2 linked regions of the Anolis sagrei genome follow. The protein of the gene in region 2 interacts with the protein of the main gene of each other region in a pairwise test. Links are inferred from orthologs where the notes say so. Each region holds a gene or a part of one and is shown on either strand. Other genes may lie near its edges.

Region 1 (7,143 bases), on a different chromosome or scaffold from region 2:
CTTTTGGAGGTGCAGTCTTGTTTAAAAGGGTCCCGCCAAGTATTATGATGGATAAATCATTGTGATAAATAATGCTATTGAATAACAATAATAGTTATGGTTTTTCTAGAAAGGCATGCACTATTCCACTCCTATCAGACAAACAAAATCCCTGTTTGCAAACTCCCTTCGTATCCTAACTGAACCCAATACCACTTGAATTGGCTTTTTGTCAAAAGCTCTGATAATATATTAACTTGCTTGCTCAAAGTGATCTGTCTTAGAAAGATGAGTGACCGCCATGATAAGAGAGATGGAAACATCACATTCTTGATATTTCACAGTTGAAATTTGTGCCTACATCTTATTAATTTTTCCTTTTGTAATTATTTTTTGGGGGAGGGGGTGCTATGTAGCACAGTATCTCAGCAAGATGAAAAAAACTCTCTTTCCTTAAGAACACCAAAGAAAATATTCACACTAATAAATCAGGGATAAAATTCTAGGTTGTAATTTAAATTAGAAATATTTCTTATTTCTTCCATCATTCCCCCAAAACCCACGTTTACTTGTGCTTCTCCCCAAAAGGGCCATTGTGAGAGAGTTATGGGACAATCTACACCAGGGGTCCTCAAACTAAGTCCCAGGGGCTGAATACGGCTCTCCAAGGTCATTTAACCAGCCCTCACTCAAGGTAAACGTAAGTCTGAAATGACTTGAAAGCACACAACAACAACAATCCTGTCTCATCAGTCAAAAGCAGGCCCACACTTCCCATTGAAATATTAATGTTTATATTTGTTTAAATTGTTCTTATTTTAATTATTGTATTGTGTTTGCACTACAAATAAGGTATGTGCAGTGTGCGTAGGAATTCATTCATGCTTTCTTCAAATTATAATCTAGCCCTCCAACAGTTTGAGGGACTGTGGCCTGGCCCTCTGTTTAAAACGTTTGAGGACCTCTGATCTACACTCTCTTAGAAAAGAGAGTGTAGATCAGGAAAGGAAAGGTGGCATTAAAATGCCTAACATTTCTCTGCTACCACCATTCAACACAGGCTATACACACACATACACACACACACAAATATATATAATTTCATTTGTTACCCACTTCTCCTCATAGCTCAAAGTATTATTACTGTATTTATAATTATTATTTATAGTATTTATATTCTGCCCTTCTCACCCCGAAGGGGACTCAGGGCGGATCACAGAACACATATACAGAAAACATTCAATGCTGATTATACAATGACAAGACAGACAACAGAGAGAGGTAAATATAGGCTTTTTCTCATCATTCAGGATCTTTTTGAGGCTGTGCTTGGCCCCGGACACAGGGGGGTGCTGTTGCTCCATCTCCTTGCCAAAGAGCTTTCTTTGTTGGTAAACTTTCCTCTGAAAGCCTGCCTAAAATACCTCTCAGCTCAATGCAGTTCCTATTCAAAATGCCTCTCCTCTCCTATTCAACTATTCACATTACTGTTTTCTATCTGCTAGGTGGGCGGGGAACTGGGATGAAGGTCAGGAGCTCACCTTGACCCGTCTTCAAATTGTCAACCTTTCAGTTGACAAGATTTACTGCGGCTGTAGCCGGTGGTTAACCTGCTGTTCTAAAGCCAGCCCTCTGGAGTACAATACAGTTCCAGATAAAATTCAATACTATAATACATAATACAAAAGTTAAAATACAATATGAATAGAATGTAAGTGGCTATGTATGTGAAAAAGAGATTGCAACCTTAAAAAAAGGGGGGGGGGGTTTGGGACAGTGTCATAATTGTATGTGACTGGCCGGGAATTCTGGCATCAGCAACAACAACAACAAAAGACTTATGCAAAAGTTGGACTTCTGCCAATCAAAATGTCAACATTGTCATTTTGAGCCACGTAGCTCAAGTGCATCAATACTACAATGTAGACACACCATGAGATCATGGGAGTTGTCGTTTGGTGAGGCAACAGCACTCTTTTGGCAGAGAAGGCTGAAGATCTTGCAAAACTACAGCTCCCGGGATTCCATTGCCTTAAGTCACGTAGCTCAAGTGCATCAATACTACAATGTAGACACACCATGGGATTATGCGAGTTGTAGTCTGGTGAGGCACCAGCACTCTTTTGGCGGAGAAGAGTGAAGACCTTGCCAAACTACAACTCCCAGGATTCCATAACCTTGAGTCACGTAGCTCAAGTGCATCAATACTACAATGTAGACACACCATGGGATCATGGGAGGTGTAGTTTGGTGAGGCATCAGCCCTCTTTTGGCAGAGAAGCTTAAGACCTTGCAAAACTACAACTCCCAGGGCTCCATAGCTTTGAGCCATGTAGCTCAAGTGCATCAATAATACAATGTAGACACACCATGGGATAATGGGAGTTGTAGTTTGGTGAGGCACCAGCACTCTTTTGGCAGAGAAGGCTGAAGATCTTGCAAAACTACAGCTCCCAGGATTCCATAGCCTTGAGACATGTAGCTCAAGTGCATCAATACTACAATGTAGACACAGCATGGGATCATGGGAGTTGTAGTCTGGTGAGGCATCAGCACTCTTTTGGCAGAGAAGGCTGCAGACCTTGCAAAACTACAGCTCCCAGGATTCCATAGCCTTGAGACATGTAGCTCAAGTGCATCAATACTACAATGTAGACACAGCATGGGATCATGGGAGTTGTCGTTTGGTGAGGCACCAGCACTCTTTTGGCAGAGAAGGCTGAAGATCTTGCAAAACTACAGCTCCCAGGATTCCATAGCCTTGAGTCCGCCTGCAAGCTCCTTTCCTCCCTCCTTCCCTCCCCAAAGAGGCGCTTATTGGGAGCCTCTGCCCCTTTGCTTGCTCACCTTTGGCTGCTTGGCTTGGAAAGGTAAGGAGGAGGAGGAGGAGGCGGCGGGGGTCCTTCTCCCGGGGCCCCCAATGGCTCTGCAGCCTGCGACCCTCCTCCATGCAGCCAAAGGGACCCCAGCTGCTCGGGGCCTCCACATGCTGGAACCAGGCGCCAGGGAAAAAGCCCTGCCTCCTCCCACAGTGACGCCAGGCAAGCGACAGAAGAGGAGGAGAAAAAAAAAGTAAACATCGCCAGGTGCGCTGCTGCCCCCAAGTGGCCACGCGAAACACTGCAGGGCCTGGTTGGTGTTTCCTCGGCAAAATGTTGCTCAGAGGGGGTTTTTTTTTGCCTTGGTCTTTTACAGTGCTTTTACAGCAGTGGTTCTCAACCTTCCTAATGCCACAACCACTTAATACAGTTCCTCATGTTGTGGGGATCCCCAACCATAAAATTATTTCTGTTGCTACTTCATAACTGTAATTTTGCTACTGTTATGAATTTGAATGTCAATATCTGTTATGCAGGATGTATTTTCATTCACTGGACCAAATTTGGCACAAATACCCAATACGCCCAAATTTGAATACTGGTGGGGGTTTTGTTGGGGAGGGGTTGATTTTGTCATTTGGGAGTTGTAGTTCACCTACAATAAAAGAGCATTCTGAACTCCATCAACAATGGAATCGAACCAAACTTGGCACACAGAACTCCCATCACCAAGAGAAAACAATGTAAGGGTTTGGTGGGCATTGAGTTTTGGAGTTGTAGTTCACCTATATCCAGAGAGCACCGTGGACTCAAGCTATGGTAGATCTGAACCAAACTTGGCACGGATACTCTATATGCCCAAATGTGAACACTGGTGGAGTTTAGGGAAAATAGACCTTGACATATGGGAGATGTAGTTCACTTATATCCGTGGACTCAAGCAATGGTAGATCTCAGGCATGTAGCCGGGGGGGGGGGCCTCGGGGGGCCTCAGCCCCCCCCCCCCCAATTCTCATGGTGGTTCGCGAAAAGGCCTTACTGGTGCATTATTTAAACTGTTATGTTTATTCATATTATGATCTGATAACCATACTCAATATATCCCATATGCATGAGGATATTGGGGTAATGATACAAAAGGTTTGCTAGGTTAGACCCTCTTTCACTCAGACTCAGCCCCCCCCGAAACTCAGCCCCCCAAACCCCCCCTGAAAAAATTCAGCCCCCCCCCCCCCCCCCGAAACGAAATCCTGGCTACGGGCCTGATAGATCTGGACCAAACTTGGCACGGATACTCGATATGCCCAAATGTGAACACTGGTGGAGTTTAGAGGAAATAGACCTTGACATATGGGAGATGTAGTTCTTGGAATTTATAGTTCTCCTACAATCAAAGAGCATTCTGAACTCCACCAACAATGGAATCGAACCAAACTTGGCACACTGAACTCCCATGACTGAGAGAAAACAGTGTAAGGGTTTGGTGGGCATTGACCTTGATTTTTGGAGTTGCAGTTCACCTACATCCAGAGGGCACTGTGGAATCAAGCAATGGTAGATCTGGACCAAACTTGGCACGGATACTCAATATGCCCAAATATGAACACTGGTGGAGTTTGGGGAAAATAGACCTTAACATTTGGGAGTTGTAGTTGCTGGGATTTATAGTTCTCCTACAATCAAAGAGCATTCTGAACCTCACCAATAATAGAACTGGGCCAAACTTCCCACACAGGAACCCCATGACCAACTTTCTGGTGGTCTTTGACGACCCCTCTGACACCCCCTCGGGGCCCTCCCAGGGGCCCCGATCCCCAGGTTGAGAAACGCTGTTTTACAGGATGGGCTAAAAGCCACCAAGGTCTTTCAGTATTTAATACCTACCTTGTTTTTAAATTGCAGTACCACGGCATCAGATACAGTATATGGAGGAAATAAAATGACAATGCAATAACACTATGTAACAAATTTGAAAAACTTTCTGTTCCTAGGTTGTTGTGAGTTTTCTAGCCTGTATGGCCATGTTCCAGAGGCATTCTCTCCTGATATTTCACCCACATCTATGGCAGGCATCCTCAGAGGTTGTGAGGTCTGTTGGAAACTAGGCAAGTGAAGTTTATATATCTGTGGAATAATGTTTAGGGTGGGAGAAAGAACTCTTGTCTGCTTGAGGCAAGTGTGAATGTTGCAATTGGCCACCTTGATTAGCATTGAATGGCCTTGCAGCTTCAAAGCCTGGCTGCTTCCTGCCTGGGGGAATTCTTTGTTGGGAGGTGTTAGCTGGCCCTGATTGTTTCCTGTCTAGAATTCCCCTGTTTTGTGAGTGTTGTTTTTTATTTATTATCCTGATTTTAGAGTTTTTAAATAATGGTAGCCAAATATTGTTCATTTTCATGGTTTCCTCGTGGTTGTTAGAGTGGTCCAGCATTTCTGTGTTCTCAAATAATATGCTATGTCCAGGTTGGTTCATCAAGTGCTCTGCTATGGCTGACTTCTCAGGTTGAGTTAGTCTGCAGTATCTTTCTTGTTCCTTGACTCGTGATTGGGCAATGCTGCATTTGGTGGTCCCTATGGAGACTTGTCCACAGCTGCATGGTATACATGGTATACATGGACTTCAGCAGAGGAGAGAGGATCCCTCTTGTCCATTGCTGAACGTAGCATTTGTTGGATTTTCTTGGTGGGTCTATAGATAGTTTGTAGGTTGTGTTTCTTCATCAGCTTCCCTATGTGGCCAGTGGTTCCTAGTTTGAAAGTGTTACTTCCTCTTTAATTGTGCAGTACTTACCGGTACTTTGAAAGAAGTTGTTATACTCCAGAAACTTCTGTTTTTGTGGCTGCCACTTTTAACTTTTCATATGCTATCTGTAACCTTCTATACAAACATAGAACAAGTTTAGTAATCCTTTTCCATGTTTTTACGATAGAACCAATTAGGAATGCTATAAAAATAACATTATTTTTTGTTATTTTTAATTATTTAAAACTTCCCATAAAAAAGATAACTGTATCTTTTTTTGTAAGAAACTAGGACTGATGTGGTCAGTCTAATGCAATGTTCCTGAATCAGCACCCCAAATAACTCCAGAAACAGGCCTAAAACTAAGATGCCAATAATGTTTTGGTTGGCTCTTCAATTGTTAACACTTTCCAGTGCATTTGTTGTAGATTCCAAACATCCAAATACAGGGAACAGTTCAGAGTTCATCATTATAGCACTATGATCCCACTTAAACTGCTATGGTTTCATCCTAAAGACCCGTTCTACACAGTACATAACGTTCTCCACAAGAGAAGTATCTATCCCAGTATTTCATGGGATCCAGCCCTGGCAGTTAAAGGGGACTCATGGTGCTATTAATTGCGGGTGCATCTACACTGCAGAATGAATGCAGTTTGGCACCACTCAAAATGGAATCACAGTAGTAGTAGTTTCACAAGGTCTTTAGCCTTCTCTGCCAAAGAGAGCTGGTGCCTCACCAAACTACAACTCCCAGTATTTAATAGCATTGAACTGTGGCAGTTCAGAGGGGTGTCAAAAGTATCAATTCTACAGTGTAGATGCACCATTTGTGGTACAGAAGAGCTATGAATGACAACAACAACAGAACTTACCTTGAAACTAGTTGCTATACTCCAAAAACGTTGTTTTTGTGGCTGCCACAAACTATGTTGAATTGGTTAAGACTCTATGAGACAGTTATTGAAAAACTATAGCAAAATGTTCTGCCTTATGTCTTGCAAAAACAAAGTTTTTGTAGTTTGATAAACTTTTTTAATGCTTTTATGATACAAGCAATTAGAAAATGATGTTTATAATCCAGGCACACAATCGTATTACATAATGTAATAATTTAAATATCTCTTTGGAAACAAATCATGATTTTCACCTGCTCAACAATATTCTCACCTCACTACCTCTGAGGATGCTTGCCATAGATGCAGGCGAAATGTCAGGAGAGAATGCCTCTAGAACATGGCCATACAGCCTGAGAAAACCTACAACAACCCAATATTCTCATTGTAATTGAAGAGAGCACTCTCTCAACCTCAGAGGAAGGCAATGGCAAACCTCCTCTAAACAAACATGGCCAAGAAAAACCTTCAACTTGAAAGTATACAAGAACAATATATGACAAAACACTAAATGCCACAGAATCCAGATCACCTGGAAATGTCAAAATTTCTATTTGCTCACTGAAGACACCAAACAAAAAGGAACACAGGAAGTGGCCTTACACCGGGTCAGGTTCTCTAAGGTCTGTGCTAAACTCTTTCCAACTCCATTTGCCATTATATAAACTGGGGCATTTCTGGGGAGACGCGCTGCACACTTTTGAGTCGC
Region 2 (7,962 bases):
TTTGGAGGCTTTTAAACAGAGGTTGGATGGCCATCTGTTGGGGGTGCTTTGAATGTGATTTTCCTGCTTCTTGGCAGGGGGTTGGACTGGATGGCCCATGAGATCTCTTCTAACTCTATGATTCTGCAGCAGTCCAAATTCTCAGCTAGATAGTCATATTGGACTTCAAAGTCCAATATTCCACAGGATGCAATCATGGCAGGCAAAGTGGAATTAAAATGCTATAATTGTGCAGTGTGAAAAGGCTCTTTATGTTTCATTTGAAAACCAGAGACGCACACTCTCAGCCATACTATTGATGGGACATTTTTACTGTTCTGTAGAAAAGTCAGTGGTGTCAAGAACATGATGTCACTAAAGGGTTTAGTCATTTAAGCAACAAAATCATTACTTTCAATTTAGCTGAGTCCCTCAAACCACAACAGATTGGAAATTCATTTCTAAATCACCCCAGTCCTGGGTAAAAATATCCTTAGTAGTCCATCATATTCATCATGTATTGATGAGAAAGAGAACCACTAAAAAGTACTATATTTATGTCATCTAATTTAATTGAATTACAAACATAAGTAAAGGTAAATGTTTCCCCTTGACATTAAGTCTATTCATATCCGACTTTGCAGGTTGGTGCTCATCTCCATTTCTAAGCCGAAGAGCAGGCGTTATCCATAGGCGCCTCCAAGGTCATGTGGCCGGCATGACTGCATGGAGCGCCGTTACCTTCCCGCCGGAGTGGTACCTATTGATCTACTCACATTTGTATGTTTTCGAACTACTACGTTGGCAGGAGCTGGGCCTAACAGTGGGAGCTCACCCTGCTCCCCAGATTCAAACCACTGACCTTTCAGTCAGCAAGTTCAGCAGCTCAGTAGTTTAACCCACTGCACCACCGGTGGCCAACATACACAGGGAGTATAAAAACAGGAATTGGTAATTTTATGATATCAGGTTGTAATAGATATGAAAGCCTTTCAAAACTGTTTAAACAACAAAATACTATTTATTGTCAAAGGCTTTCTGGCCAGAATCACTGGGTTGTTGTAGGTTTTTTCGGGCTATATGGCCATGGTCTAGAGGCATTCTCTCCTGACGTTTCGCCTGCATCTATGGCAAGCATCCTCAGAGGTAGTGAGGTCTCAGAGGTGACCTCACTACCTCTGAGGATGCTTGCCATAGATGCAGGCGAAACGTCAGGAGAGAATGCCTCTAGACCATGGCCATATAGCCCGAAAAAACCTACAACAACCCAAAATACTATTTTTCTCATATCTATACATTGTTACTATATGGAGATCCAGTATCTCAACCTCAAAATATTATCTTCTCAAACAACAAAACAAACAACAAAAACCCAATTGTATTTAGCACCAATTATGTGGAAAACTCTTCTGATCATTACTTCTTTTCATTGTGAACACAGCTAGCCTGATCTAGAAGATACATGCTTCTTTGCATGATGAGCAAAATGACACTTTTTTGTGCTATGGTCCTTTGTAGAAGTAGTTTGATTCAAATAGGATCTTGGCCCAAGGATGCTGTGATAAATGCAGAATTTTAATAGCTTCATCTTTGTTTTGTCCTTATTTTAATCATGTGGCTGTCCCTTACTGACAAGGACTTTTGTTATAGGCAAGGGCAAAGGATCAAATTATTAATTCCGATCTGAATTTCCTAAGTTTTTTCCCCTGAACCAATATGGCTTTCTTGTTTTAAAATGTAACTTTGCAATTTGAGTTGGTACTGAGTTCTATGGCTGTCTGAGCTGCATGCGCAATACCAGATATTATGACGTCACTGGAGATAGCAAGTGATGCATGTCTTTGCCCTCTATCACCTCTGATCTACCACTTTTTAAAAATAGTTTTTGTTTCTCTCTCTTTTACATAGGAACTTCTTTTGAGCCACACAACTGTAGCTTGCAAAACAAGACTCGTGAAGGTTCACAAACTAATAAAGATGAATAGCTGAATGCATATGAAATTGGTCCCCTCCATTGTAGTAATCTCTTGCCATAATGAAATATTTCCCTCTTCTTTCTTGAATGTAATGATGCGGATCCTAATCTCTCAACCTGTTGGTACCCTGGTGTTTTGGCTTACAACTCCCAAAAATCCCAACTAGTTCACCAGCCGTTAGGATTTCTGGAAGTTGGAGGCCAAAATATCAGGATACCCACAGGTTTAGCACCAATCTAACACAAAAAAATGAATTTTCCCTATTTCTTTATAAATGGGTGTATTAGAAAGAGAATACCAAGCGAACTCTCTGCTAAGTTTCAGTACAAGTCTTCTTACAAGTGTACAGCAAGTTATTATCTGCTATTGGATCTCAGCTAAAGCAAAAGCAATAAAAGAAGGGAGAACTATGAGGGTAGGCCCTTCTGATGGTAAGCATACTTCAGCTGGATAAAGGTTGGATTTACGCTGTCCTATATTCCAGGAACTGATCCAGATTATCTGTTTATTCCAGGTTATCTGGCAGTGGAGACTCATATAATCCAGTTTAAATCAGATAATCTGGGATGAGATCCTGGGATATAAGACAGTGTAGAAGAGACCAAAGTCAACCAGGTGTTCATAAATTAATGAAAGCTCTCCTGAGAAAAGAGGGCTCCTCGTCTACTGTAATTGTAGCAATTGTGCTTACGCCAGGCTCTGAAGCTCTTCTTCTGGACTGCCATGCCTCAAACGGTCCTGATTCTCCTGCTGGATGGTCATCCGCCTTTCCTCTTCCATCTTGGCTTTGCCCATTCGCAACACCTGCCAGCCTTCTGCTGCTGCTTCTTTTCAGGGTACCACTGGCCGCAGAGACAACAAGCAAGGAAAAAGCAAGCCAGCTGGCATCCCTTTGCTTCAAATTCTGGCTCTTCTCTGTGAAGAGCAATCCATTTCTCAGCAAGTTGGTGTTGTTTCTGCTGCTGCACAAGGGGAATGAGGAAGTGAAAATGACAGTCCCTCCCTGCCAGCACCAAAAGGACCTTCCCTTGCCTCTCCAGTTCAGGCAGACAGAAGAGGGGAGGACGTCAGGAGAATGCAGTTGGGGCTGTTCCACGCCTCTTCTGCTGTTGTGTGTATGTAAGCCAGGGGCGTTGCCTGAATAAGTTTTTGCCAGTGTGCCCAAAGGTGTACACAGGTGTGTAAGAAAGAACACCAACAACCCAATCCTTTGCACACTTTTCTTTTTACAGTAATTCTTTTGCTGCAGAGAAGCCAACAGAAGATAAAAATACTAGTCTATGTTTGTTTTGATTTTAGGCACCGAAAGAAGGAAGTTTGTTGCTCCATGTTCTGGGTTTCTTGTGTGTTTTGAATCAGATCACAGTGTCAGTTTTTTGTTGTGTGCCTTCAAGTCATTTCTGATCTATGGCTACCCTAAGGTGACCTGATCATAGGGTTTTCTTGGGATGATTTGTTCAGAAGAGGGTTGCCATTGCCTTCATCTGAGGCTGAGAGTGTGAATTGTCCAAAGCCACCCAGTAAGCTTCCATAGCCAAGCCGGGACTTGAACCCTGGTACCCCTATGTCCTTGTCCAGGACTCAAACTGCTACAGTACATCATGTTGTGGCTCAAACCTCAGCCTAGGGCAGCATTTCTCAACCTTGAGGCTGGAACCCCTGGGAGGGTCAAGAGGGGGTTTGAGAGGGGTCACCAAAGACCATAAGAAAACATAGTATTTTCTGTTGGTCATGGGGTTTCTACATGGGAAGTTTGGCCCAATTCTGTTGTTGGTGTGGTTCAGAATGCTTATTGATTGTAGGTGAACTATAAATTCCAGTGACTACAACTCCCAAATGTCAAGGTCTGTTTTCCCTTAAACTCCACCACTGTTCACATTTGGGCATATTGAGTATCTATGCCATGTTTGGTCCAGATCCATCATTGTTTGAGTCCACAGTGCTCTCTGGATGTAGGTGAACAACAACTCCCAAACTCAAGGTCGGTGCCCACCAAACCCTTCCAGTATTTTCTGTTTGTTAAGGGAGTTTTGTGTACCAAGAGTGGTTCAATTCCATCATTGGTGGAGTTCAGATTGCTCTTTGGTTGTAAGTGAACTATAAATCCCAGCAACTACAACTCCCAAATGACAAAATCAATCTCCCCCCACAATCCCACCAGTATTCAAATTTGGGCATATCGGGTATTTGTGCCAAATTTGGTCCATTGAATGAAAATACATCCTGCATATCAGATATTTACATTACGATTCATAACAATAGCAAAATTACAGTTATTAAGTAGCAATGGAATTAAAGTATGTTAAAAATTGGGCTGCTTTACAGCTACTTTGGGGAAGTGACTAAAATGTCATGCTTGGATGCAAACTTGCCTAAATTTAACTTCCCACAAAGCCATGAACAGAGTTTGGAAATGTTACTTCTTTAGACTGCAGCCCCCCAAATCCCCAGGCTGGCATGAATTTTATTGGACAGCTTTGGGCATCTTGCAGTGTTCCTGCACAATCTTCATTGCAGGATTGCAGTAAGGATAAAAAGCCACCCCTCATGTATGTCACCTCGAATAATTTGCAAGAACAAACAGAACAATACGATGAAAACATGTACAACTGAACAAAAAGTATATTTTTGTGAGTAGTGTAACACCAAATGAAAGGTTTCTTCAAGACTGTGAGGCTCCACATGTGTATCATGCTATTTATTTATCGTGTCATCAGCAACCATACCATTGTATTACATTTCTAACAGAGCAAAACGAACACACAAATTAAAAAAAAAACACAGATTTTGCAAACTTGGTAGTTGGTTAAATGTCCTTTGACCATGCTGAACTAAGGCTTGTCAAATTAAACAGAAAGCTAAAGAGGAGAACTAGAAAAGAAAGAATCCAGGAATCGAAAGAGACACAAATTTTCCACCTTAGTTATTTGGTATTATTCTCTCTTGAGGTAGCTTCCACCTTCACTTCTATTTCAGTCCTAGAATTTTCATAAAGTGTATGGTGAAGAGTTTATAAAACCACTTTGGTGAATACAGTTCTCATTAACATACTTTCCTATTAAGAGAAGTTGACCTGGATTTTCCCGTCACTATTTCAACTAGTGTTACATAAGCAGAAGCATTTGGGTGCTTTTCTCTTTCACTTCACCTTCTGCCTTAGCTTTCTTTTCAGGTTTTACACAAGAACAAAACAGACACAAGAAAACCCCAAATCTGCCCAAGTAATCACTGGCTGGACAAGACTTCCCTCTCCACGTAAAAAAGTTTTACAATTTGACACACTAATTCCATCTTGGACTTTGGAACAGATATATTTCGAGTTTCTATTTCTGCTAATTGTATGTGGTTCTGTGTATTGTTGAAGGTCAGGCCCGTAGCCAGGATTTCGATTCGGGGGGGGGGGGGCTGAGTCTGAGTGAAAGAGGGTCTACCCTAGCAAACCTTTCGTATCGTTACCCCAATACCCCATGCATATGGGATATATTGAGCATGGTGATCAGATCATGATATGAATAAACATAACAGTTTAAATAATGCACCAGTAAGGCCTTTTCGCGAAGCATCATGAGAATTTGGGGGGGGGGGCTGAAGTCCCTCAACCCCCCCCCCCCCCCGGCTACATGCCTGTCGAAGGTTTTCATGGCCAGAATCACTGGGTTGTTGTGAGTTTTTCAGGCTGTATGGCTATGTTCCAGAAGCATTCCCTCCTGACCTTTCACCTGCATCTATGGAAAGCATCCTCAGAGGTTGTGAGGTCTGTTGGAAACTAGGAAAACGGTGTTTATATATCCGTGGAATGTCCAGGGTGGGAGAAAGAACTCTTGTCTGTTTGAGGTAGGTGTGGCCACTTTGAATAGCATGTGGTTCTGTTTCTGATTATACTTTCCCGTCTACAAGCTTTTGAAGGGGGAGTTTAAAAAACAAAACAAAATAAAATCTTTGTCAAAGACCATGTTCATCTCAGGTTTGATAGCTTCACTTAATAATAATAATAATAATAATAATAATAATAATAATAATAATTTATTTCTACCCTGCCACCATCTCCCTGGAGGGACTCTAGCCAGTGGTTCTCAACCTGGGGTCCCCAGATGTTTTTGGCCTACAACTTCCAGAAATCCCTGCCAGTTTACCAGCTGTTAGGATTTCTGGGAGTTGAAGGCCAAAAACATCTGGGTACTCCAGGTTGAGAAGCACTGCTCTAGGCAGCTCACAAAAGCACTCAAAATGCAAACACATAAAATATACAATAAGTATTGACCAATATCACAATAACAATAACAATCCACATAAAATTATAAAATCCCACTGGTTAAAACACCAATAAAATGCAACAGTTTCTGCAGATATAAACAAATTGCAATCAGTATCAGTCCATAAAGTGTGAGGTGAAATAAACACCAGTCCTAAAATATAATCAGTAAGGATTCCTAAATAAGGTCAAAAGCCTGTTTGAATAGCCATGTTTTGGTTCAAGAGTCTTGGAGAGTAGGGGCTAATCTAATCTCACTGGGGAGGACATTCCAAAGCCTGGGAGCCACCACCGAGAAAGCCCTCTTGTCCCCACCAACCGCGCTTGAGCAGGACCAAGAGAAGGGCCTCCCCAGCAGATCCCAAAGGAAATAGACTGGACTTGAAGTGTTTAGAGATTTATAGGTAATGACCTGCACTTTGAATTGAGTCTGGAAACATATCAGCAGCCAGTGGAGCTGTTTTAATAGGAGCATCGTATGCTCTCTATAATTGACCCCAGTTAATAATCTGGCAGCTGATCTTCGCACTAATTGCAGTTTCCTGATCGTTTTTAAAGGCAGCCCCACATAGAATGTGTTACAGTAGTCCAATCCAGATGTACCTAAGGCATGGATCACCGTGGCCAAGTCAGGCTTTTTGAGGTATGGTCACAGCTGGTGCACAAGTTTCCTGATTCCAGGAAAGCATATTAAAACAACAGCTGTATCACCAGTTTTTAATAATTTGTATGATTTTAATTATTAATTTTAATTAGAGTGGAAACAAATAGTATGAGGAAAGTATGAGTGGCTGTATGAAAGAAGCTTTTGTCCCTTTAATAGCTGCAAGTAGAAATTTCAATAGGTGAAACCTGTCATGCAGACTTGAACTGCTAACATTTCCTCTTCTAAACAGCTATTAAAGGCACACAAGATTTGTCCTCATTTTTATGTGAATTCACAGACAAAAGAAGTGCAATGTTTATTGAGGTTTGTATTTTATGATTGCCTATAAAAAGCCCAGTGTCTTTCAATTGTTATATAATTGTATATATAGTTGTGTTATGTGGCCACAAAGAAATTTATACATACACATATATACTCATACACACATAGCATAGAGGTAATTTTTTTTTATACAGACAGAGACTCAGATAATCTTATAAGCCACAGACAAATAACAAATACATCAATTCTAACATTCTTTTTGGTTCTTCGTTCTTGATGCTAAAGTTGCTTACCTCAAAAACCTGAAGAACATATCAATCGAGTAAGTACTGAGTAAAGATAAATGGTTCAACAGCTCAGCTTGGGGTCCAATTCATTACGGATGCTCATTCCTCAAATGCTAGCTTCAATACACACATGAAGCTTTCTAGCAGCAGGAGATTTATTGGCCTCCATCCCAAAACCACAGGTTATCTGTGGGATTATATCTTGGATAGAAAAAAATATCCTGAGACTAGCAACTCCATCCATCAAAACAACCGTGTTACTAGAAAGCAAGTAGTTTGTAAAAGTTTAACATTTACAAGAAATAAATTCATTCTTTTTTCAGTGCAATTGTGATTTCAAAATCAGTTTTATAGTTTACAGTGACATCAAAAGTGATGTCACTAAATGGTGGCAGAGGCCCGATTCAAAGCCTGGCTCATGCCATGTTTTGTGTTCTGTTGTGCCAACAACAAAATAGATGAAAAGAGAAGGCATTTTGTATTTGAATGCACCGTGCCCTCATCATCTGCTTCAAATGGAATCAGCTCAGGAATACTGAA

The links. The genes of interacting proteins can lie anywhere in the genome.
Region 1: the proteins of DAPP1 (region 2) and FXN interact in binary tests that used the Homo sapiens proteins (3 or more experiments, as listed by UniProt). The link is inferred for Anolis sagrei from reciprocal best matches to the Homo sapiens genes DAPP1 and FXN.

What each region holds. Positions count from the first base shown.
Region 1 is NC_090022.1:221,737,630-221,744,772, reverse strand, and holds the start of FXN (frataxin, mitochondrial), read right to left. Parts: upstream 3,017-7,143; 5' UTR 2,968-3,016; coding exon 2,827-2,967; intron 1-2,826.
Region 2 is NC_090025.1:26,504,477-26,512,438, reverse strand, and holds the start of DAPP1 (dual adapter for phosphotyrosine and 3-phosphotyrosine and 3-phosphoinositide), read right to left. Parts: upstream 3,013-7,962; 5' UTR 2,751-3,012; coding exon 2,647-2,750; intron 1-2,646. UniProt on the Homo sapiens protein: May act as a B-cell-associated adapter that regulates B-cell antigen receptor (BCR)-signaling downstream of PI3K.